Coturnix japonica: one gene and its partner. The protein of the gene in region 1 interacts with the protein of each later gene in a biochemical or structural test. Links are inferred from orthologs where the notes say so. Each region holds a gene or a part of one and is shown on either strand. Other genes may lie near its edges.

The links. The genes of interacting proteins can lie anywhere in the genome.
Region 2: the proteins of SH2D1B (region 1) and signaling lymphocytic activation molecule-like interact in a test that uses a peptide from one of them, tested with the Homo sapiens proteins (2 studies listed by BioGRID). The link is inferred for Coturnix japonica from reciprocal best matches to the Homo sapiens genes SH2D1B and SLAMF1.

Annotation. Positions count from the first base shown.
Region 1 is NC_029516.1:78,530,415-78,534,478, reverse strand, and holds the start of SH2D1B (SH2 domain-containing protein 1B), read left to right. Parts: upstream 1-1,264; 5' UTR 1,265-1,768; coding exon 1,769-1,902; intron 1,903-4,064. UniProt on the Homo sapiens protein: Cytoplasmic adapter regulating receptors of the signaling lymphocytic activation molecule (SLAM) family such as CD84, SLAMF1, LY9 and CD244. In SLAM signaling seems to cooperate with SH2D1A/SAP.
Region 2 is NC_029540.1:802,602-806,573, reverse strand, and holds the start of signaling lymphocytic activation molecule-like, read right to left. Parts: upstream 2,803-3,972; 5' UTR 2,244-2,802; coding exon 2,192-2,243; intron 489-2,191; coding exon 162-488; intron 1-161.

The sequences.
Region 1 (4,064 bases):
GCTCCTCTGCTCTGCTCTGGACAGGCTCAGCAACATCATCTATGCCTCATATGTCTTGACCTTTAGATTGCTCATTGTTTCCATAGTCTTCCTTTGGATACTCTATATTAGTTTCATTTATTTACTTTGTTACTTGTTAGCTTTCTTATCACTGAAGAGGAGAAAGAATGTACCTGAAGATGGGCAGTGTTAAGCAGCTGCTGTTCCTTTTCACAGCTGGAATTCTGTGTCACCCACCTTGCACTGCCTCATGAAAATTTTACATTCATGAGATATTTAGAAAACTGTACACACAGTCATACACCAACACCCCTTATCATACCTGATCAGTTATCACACTTCACTTGCACAAAAGGAAGAAAGCTGTAATTTTGCCAGTAACACACTATAACTCTGACATCTCCTAACAGACGAGTACTTGCACTTACAAGTTTCTTGGAATTTTTGTGAAATGGAGGAGGATCTGTAAAGAAGAAGAGAGAAAATAGCCAACCATCACTTATGGTATCAATGTCAAGGATCATGAGTAAGGTGGACTGCAGAACTGTACCATAGAAGTCACCAGCACTGCTTGGTGACAGAGAAATGGTGACGTATTATGAGATCTTCAGAGTCATCCACAGGTTACAAAGCTGGGAAGTGTAGATGCAAACAGTGATCTTTGAAATCAAGAAGACCCCTGCCAGTTCCAGCTCTTGTGGACCTGGACCATTTTGACTTTGAAAGCAAACTATTGCAGCAGTCCCTGATCCTTTTCCTCAGCTTTGAAGACTGTCTCTCCTGCTGTCTCTGTCCCTTCCTCCTTCCCTGGAAACTTAAACCAACTCTATCTGCAAGATCAGTGCTTGTTTCCTTTCCAGTCTCACCTTCTGAATCATAGCTACTCCTGTATCTTTGGGTCCTCCCGCAGTTTCCATTCCTTCACTAATACTGCCCAGCTTGGTTTTTATCTCTTGCTTCTCCAGGTCTGTTTGCTCTCCACCCTTCCCCAGTCCTTGCCTTCCAGTGAGAAAAGCATTAAATCCCTGTGAGAGTATCTCCCATAGAGCTGGGTAGCATTTCCTCCATCAGGGAGCAGCAGCTTTCCACATAGATGTATCCTGTCACATTGAACTGACAGCAGCTTCCTAGGGGTACCAAAAGGCATTGTCTGACCATCACCTCCTTCCTATCATGTTTTCTCTGTCATGACATAGACATAGCAGAACTTCTGGATAAAATTATTACACTTCACAAATGAGAAGGAGGCAGCAGAGAGAATGCCTCCTGAAAAATCTAATTCACAAGTACTGCTGACCAACTTTCACTGGTACTTGCAAAATGCAATAAGCCATAAGAACAGCAACAACATCTAACAGCTGTGCTAAAAGGTAAAGTTCAGCAAGGCTTTGAGCAACTTCATATGTAGAAGTTACCTTTAAAATGTAACTGTGATTAGGTGTCTGCTAAACTATTGCATAGCTTAGAAACGTAAAACACAAATCAGATGTTAGCTCTGTCATATAATGCACCAGAAGAGTGACAGTAACAGTACAGATGAATCATTTCCCATTTCCCACCCTGCCCTCATGGTGCTCATCAGCCTTAAGCTGTTGGCTAGCTGCACTACAGACAGACCAGTAACCACAACATGAGCCCATGACCATACTTCAAACCTCTAGTTTCACTTCTTAACAACTGTTTTTAGAATAAGTCGTCTTTTAATGCCAGTCTTCCAGCTTTTTCTAGAATTGGTCTGAAAGACGAGAGACTTTGTATCTATTTGTCCATGGAGTTCCCATTTTTTCATGGAAAGATATCACGTAAAGCATGTGAAGAACTGCTGTGCAAGAAAGGAAAGAATGGTAGCTATTTAATACGAGAGAGCGAAAGCATGGCTGGAGCCTTGTGTCTGTGTGTTTTGTAAGTATTTTAATATTAAATTTCTAATGAGATTTCAAATAGATAAAAAACTAAGACTTCTCCTTTTCTAACGTTAATAGTTCTTCCCTAATGTTAACAGTATGTCTGTAGATGTATTCAAGCGATGTTGGTTGCCTTAGGTTTTCTTTATAGTGAGTGGTGAGTGGGTGACATTTGTAAAAACAATTCATACAACAGAGAATGGATGAACTGTTCTCTGCTGATGCTGTTGTCTCTCTGCAGACAATAGAGAGATCCCAGAGAAAATACCTCAGCCTGCCAAAACACGGTGAGGAGAATCTCACTCAGAGTTGCTACCTGTGTTATAACAATGAGTAAATACCATTTTAGCACTGCTGAGACACTGAAAAGTCCCACAGTTGGACATAAAAATTTTCTTTTTCATATGCATGCTGATTATCTGATGAAACATTAGCCTTGTGTTTCCCACAAAGTTTATCTGATGTGAGAAGATAAGCTGAGATAGAACCTGTCACGTCCTACTCAAATTCATGACAAGCCCGTGAACAAGATGGGGATAGAAAACTGCTTAGCTTAAAACAATTAAAACTGGATTATTTTCTTCTGCTGTTGGGAACAGCACTTTTTTCCTGTTCATAAAGTCTGTTTTACATTTTTTTTCATAAGTAACCAATCTGTTCTTAATGTGTTCAGTTTATGAACTAGTAACTAGTCCTTTTTGTGTGAACCCATTGAATTTTACACATTCCTTGAGGGTGTGTTTGAGAGTGACATGAAAAAAATAAATGTAGCATAACATTTAATGAGCTCAGGAATATCAGGAAATATGTTTTATCAATAATCAAAATCTCACTGCTTTTAAAACAAATCAAAGGAGAAGGGAGAAAAAGGGAGGAGGAAATGGAATACTGTTGGGTTGGTGAGTAGAAGAAAGGATCATCTGGGAATGACAGAGGAGAAATGGCAGATGAGTTACAAACAGAGACCTTGAAGAGGGAGCTGGAGGAGCCTGCCTGCAATGAGTGTGGAAGGAGACAATGTACAAAGCAAAGAGATCAGGGAGGGAAATGGCATGCATAGTCTGTCTGAATCAACAAATGGGGATCCTGGCACGGAGGAAGCAATACTAGGCTTTGATGTGGGAGTACAGCTGTTGTGATCTTATTCAGTAGAGGCAGATGAAAAAAGCAAAGAGGTGCTTATGTCTTCTGTGCGTTAAATGAGTTTGAACTACTGCAGTAATAGACAGCATATCTACAGAGTACATCATATAGCCAAAGGATGTATGTGACTTTAGTTTGTGCATTAATACATACAATTGTTGAAATACAGAGTAGCAGCAACAGCATGATAGATACTGGCTTGCAGAGGTGAAAGTACAGGTTGCTTTCAGATAGCAAATGGGATGATGTGGTTCAGAAGCTGGCTCAGAAGCTGAGAGACTGGCTGTCAGTGATAGACTAGAGAAAGAAAAGCTGCTTAAGGGGAATGCATCAGTCCTAAAATTGGAGACATCAACACAGAAATTCTCGGTGCTGTTTCAAGACAGCTTCCGGTCTAGAACTGCATCTTAAGCATTGCTTAGCATGTAACATGGTTGATAAGAAAAACTGATGCCCACCTTGCTAAAAAATAAATAAAATAGTTCTCATTTGATCCGTGGACAGAGACAGCAATTCACAGGCTACAGAAAACAACCACAATTTGTAGTTGACCCACTGACTGAAGGGGAGGATCTAAGGGTCAGAATGTTGGGACTGGTCCAAAAGCATCTCAGCATTAACCATGCACAGTGCACACCTCTTTCTCCGTGGCATTCCTTCCAAACTCATCCACAGCTGTCCCAGGTCTTGATAGCGCCTCAATCCAGATCTATTGCCCTTGCTTCTGTTCTTGTGATTCAATATGTCAACCTATCAAAATAAATTCACCTCATGCTAGTTTTCTGCCTCTAGATCTCCCTTGTCCTCAAACAAGTTAGTTTGTTAGTTTGAATCATAATATGCAGTTATTTATAGGCATTTAATATTTGATTTGGAATTAAAAGTTTTCACTGTAATGGCAGTTTCATGTTTGCTTTATGTTACAATGACGGAAGCAGCTTTCAGTGAGCTTCTAGGCTCTATTTTGTGCTTTAGTGTCTATGAACAAGTAACATTGACATCCAGGCCTTTCTGGAT
Region 2 (3,972 bases), on another chromosome or scaffold:
TGCCATCAGCTGGAGATGGGGAGGTGCTGCTCCAGTCCTGCTGGAGACTCTGGAAATGGGGTTGAGGTCTGCCTTTACCATAGGGTTCTGGAAGGGTATTGGGCTCACTGCCACATCTCAGCCCAACATTCCCACCATCCCATCAATGCAATGTATCTCACCATACACTGCCAATTGGATATGCCAGTTAGTCTCCCCGGCTTCCATGGTGATGGAGTACTCATAGAGTTGCTGGTCCTGCCGTTGGGTGCTGAGGATCTCCAGTGAGAAGTTGGATGGATGGAAGCGAATCTGTCCTGGCTTGTAGTTGGTGTAGTTCCCATTGTAGTATGTGAATAAATATTCCTTGTTTAGTGGGTTTTCCACACTCCGCTTCCACGTGGCTGTCCCAAAACGTTGGGTGAGCTCCTGGAATTTAGGGGGGACCCCCAGGATTGTTGCCTTCCCCAGGGTGCCAAGCACTGTCTCCATTGTCCCACAGCCTATGCCTGGAAGGAGAGCAGAGATGTGTGGGGAGAGCCTGGGGGGCTTGGAGGAGATGCGACCCTTTGGTCACAGAGCTGCATAAGCAGGGGATGGTGCTGGGCTTGCCCTGGTAATCTCACATCAACTGCCTATGCAATAATCTTCTCATCTCTCCACTGCTGTACTTCATGGTGTTTTCAGCCTGAGCCCTGTGTAGGGCACCACATCCTGCCCCAGTGACAGCGGCCCCACACTCCAGCAACCCCTGCATGCCCCAGGGATGTCTGAGGACCACGAGTGGCGATGGTTCCTAATACACACCAAAGCACTTTGGTCACCCCTGGCTTGTTCATGAGTTACCTCTGGTTGTGGCCATGATTCATAGTTGCCTACAGCCCCCGTGAGCCGTGGGCTTGTTTATGTAGGAAACAGGATGGGGGTGACACCAGCTCAGCACTGCTCATCAATAGAGCGTGGAATGGAATATGCCACGTCACCCTCATGTCTCCTGCATACTTCTTTCCAATGGGGCAAGGACTCATCCCAGAAGGGAAGCATACAGAGTAGGACTCAACCCAGATAATGTCGATATCTGCCTTTGCTGCAGCACATGTACTTCCACTAAAAACCACAACCGAGCTGACAGCAACTGCTTCCCACCCCCATCCCGAGTCCTTGCCATTGCTTATTTTTTCCCCCTCCATGGCATGAAACACAGCAGCTTCAGAGCTGTCCCTGTGAATTACATCTCTGGGGTGCCGACCCAGCCATGCAGAGCGGCTGCTATTGCAAAGGAACTCAGCAAAGCCCAGCATGGAGCTTGGAGGCTGCATTTTCTCAGTGGCACGGAGCACAGCGGTTAAGCTCCTGATTAATTACTGAATGGAAAAGCCCTTTTTGAAACACGGTAGCAAAGCCCTTGGCCTGGCAAGCTGCAGCTCCCAAGAAGAGGAGATGCTCCCCATAGGAAGGTTGCTGGGATGTGGGACTGGGGTTGTATGAGGCCGTGAGTACCCATGTGGATGAGCTGTGGGAACATAGGCACAGTGCAGGGTCCAGAGCAGCCCCTATGTCAGGAATTACATTCATGGGACTTTCAGAGCACTGTCCAGGCAGAAAAACCCAGGGGGATTTTGAGGGCAGGTATTCTAGTAACAGTGAGCCAGCAGAGTGGAGGCAGCCCTGTGCTGCTGTATTGCCAGGCAGACCCCTCTTTGCTTGCCCGGTGATGGTGCAGCAGCACATGGGGATGAATGTTGACCCCAAGGATGGCACTGCAAAGAAGGTCAGGGCTGAGCCCACTTCCTCATGCACTGATGCTCCTATAGACATTCTGTTGGTCAAGTATCACCTCACCCCCACCAGCACCCAGAGCTGAGACCTCTAGAGACCATCTGCTAGGACTTACACCTCCTGCTCCCCAGCCCACAGCACTGGTGATCCCCCATGAAAACCCAAGGCAGAGTATTTCACCACCACAGATACGCTCTGACCATCACTGCCTTTGTTCATTCATCACCTTTTATTCTCTCCTCCCTCGCTCTGACTACAGAGCGCATTAGGGATGCGCCGCACATCCAACTTGGAGTCGGGTGTCGTTTGTCTTCCAGATGAATATTTACATTTATCCGCCTGCCCACCCAGCCCACAACTCACCATTTCTAATACCCGCCGATCCCCCAGCCATCCGAACCACATAGTTTGCAGATAGGAAAGAGATACATACCCCAAACCCAGCAACTAGAGATGAGCAGCCAAAGTGATGCCCTGCAGCCCATGCCTCGGTTCACGGAGCTGCTGTCGATGTGGAGTTAATATCTGCTGCCGTGCTCATTATGAGAACAGGTGTACTCAAATCAGAGGCGCTGCTGTGGGCCATGTGTTTCCTGTTTTTTAGGCTGAATGATTCTTTCTCGAGTGGAAAGTATTCAAAACGCTTCTGAACGCATCGCTGAAGAGCGCCGCGGAGAGTTGCAGAAGGGCCCAAAGCAATGATTTATAGTTTTCTTCAGACGTATATCATCTGCCACAGGCCCTTAACCCGCTCTCTATGAGAAGAGGAAATAGCCAGCACCAAACTCTCTTTATGTTTGGTAACGGGTTCCCGGGGCTGCCCAGTGTCAACTGGGTCGGAGGATGTGGCACGAGCACATCCCACACTACAGCATTGACTTGCAGCAGGAAAAACAGTGAATATTTGGGGATTAACCCACTCCAGGTGCGTGGGATTCAAGGTGGCCCCAGTCTGAAGCCTCAGCTCCATGGCTTTGCTGCAAGCAAGAGCACAGGTGGTCCTTAAAGCCCACTGAGGAGAACCCCAGCCTGAGTATCATGGGGCTCCAGTTTGCTCCTGCAATGCTTAAGCCCGACCCCAGGGGTTGTGCTTTGCTGGTGTCTGGGGATAGAGGGCAGTCCTCACTGCTGTGGGTGTCATGGGACATGAACAGAGCGGGGATGGGATGTGGGTGAGACATACATGGGACATGGATGGAGGAAGGACAGGAAATGGATGGAACACAAATGGGAAACAGATGAGACATGGATGAACATGGATGGAGCAAGGATAGGACATAGATGGAACAAGGATGGAGCAGGGATGGGATGTGGATGGAGTAGGGATGGGACATGCATGAGACACGGATGGGACATGCATGGGGCACAGATGAGACACAGATGGAACATGGATGGAACACGGATGGAACATGGATGGAACATGGATGGAACACGGATGGAACATGGATGGAACTCAGTCCACACTGAGGCTGGAAAAACTCAGCCTGTACGTTCCATTGCTGGAAAGGAGTGAGCAGATCTTGGTTGTTTTGGTGTTTTTAGTGGAATGAATTATTCATCTCTGCCATTGCTCAGCCTGCACAGCGCTTTACAATGGGAGAAGGGGTTTTTTTTCCTATTACTCCTTTCAAGTTTTTGTTACTTTTCCTCTCTTGTTTTGCAGAAGAGAGCGGAGGCAGCAGCGTGAAGCACAAATTCCTCCGTTTGTTTTAAAACAGACCACATTTAGGTGTCAGGATGAAATAAAAGCTGCATTTATGCCTCCCACCATTTTCCAGCGGAGCCGGGCTCCGAGAGCACTGTGACTTTTGTCACCAATAAATTATTTCTGATACTAAAAGCAAAGCTATGCCCAAATCCACATCGGACCAACCCACGTCCTGCAGTGCTGTCCTTGCACAGAGAGCATCTGGCTGAGCACCAGGCATTGCAAACTGATGCCTCTGGGCTGGAAAAGCATGTGAAGCAATGGGAAATATCACAGAGGGGGATTTCTGCAGTAACTCACGTCGGTGCTGAAAGCATCAGGCTGTCACACACAAGGAATTACCCTGGGCCTCCCATTAAACATGAGCTGGAATGACTCCTGCTTGTTCCCGGTTCTTAAATGAGCCACCAAGGTACCCCAGGAGGTGATGCTTAAGGATGGCTTTGGGAAGTGGCTGGGGACAACTATGGAAGGTTCTTGTCCCCATTGAAGGCAGTGGGGATGAG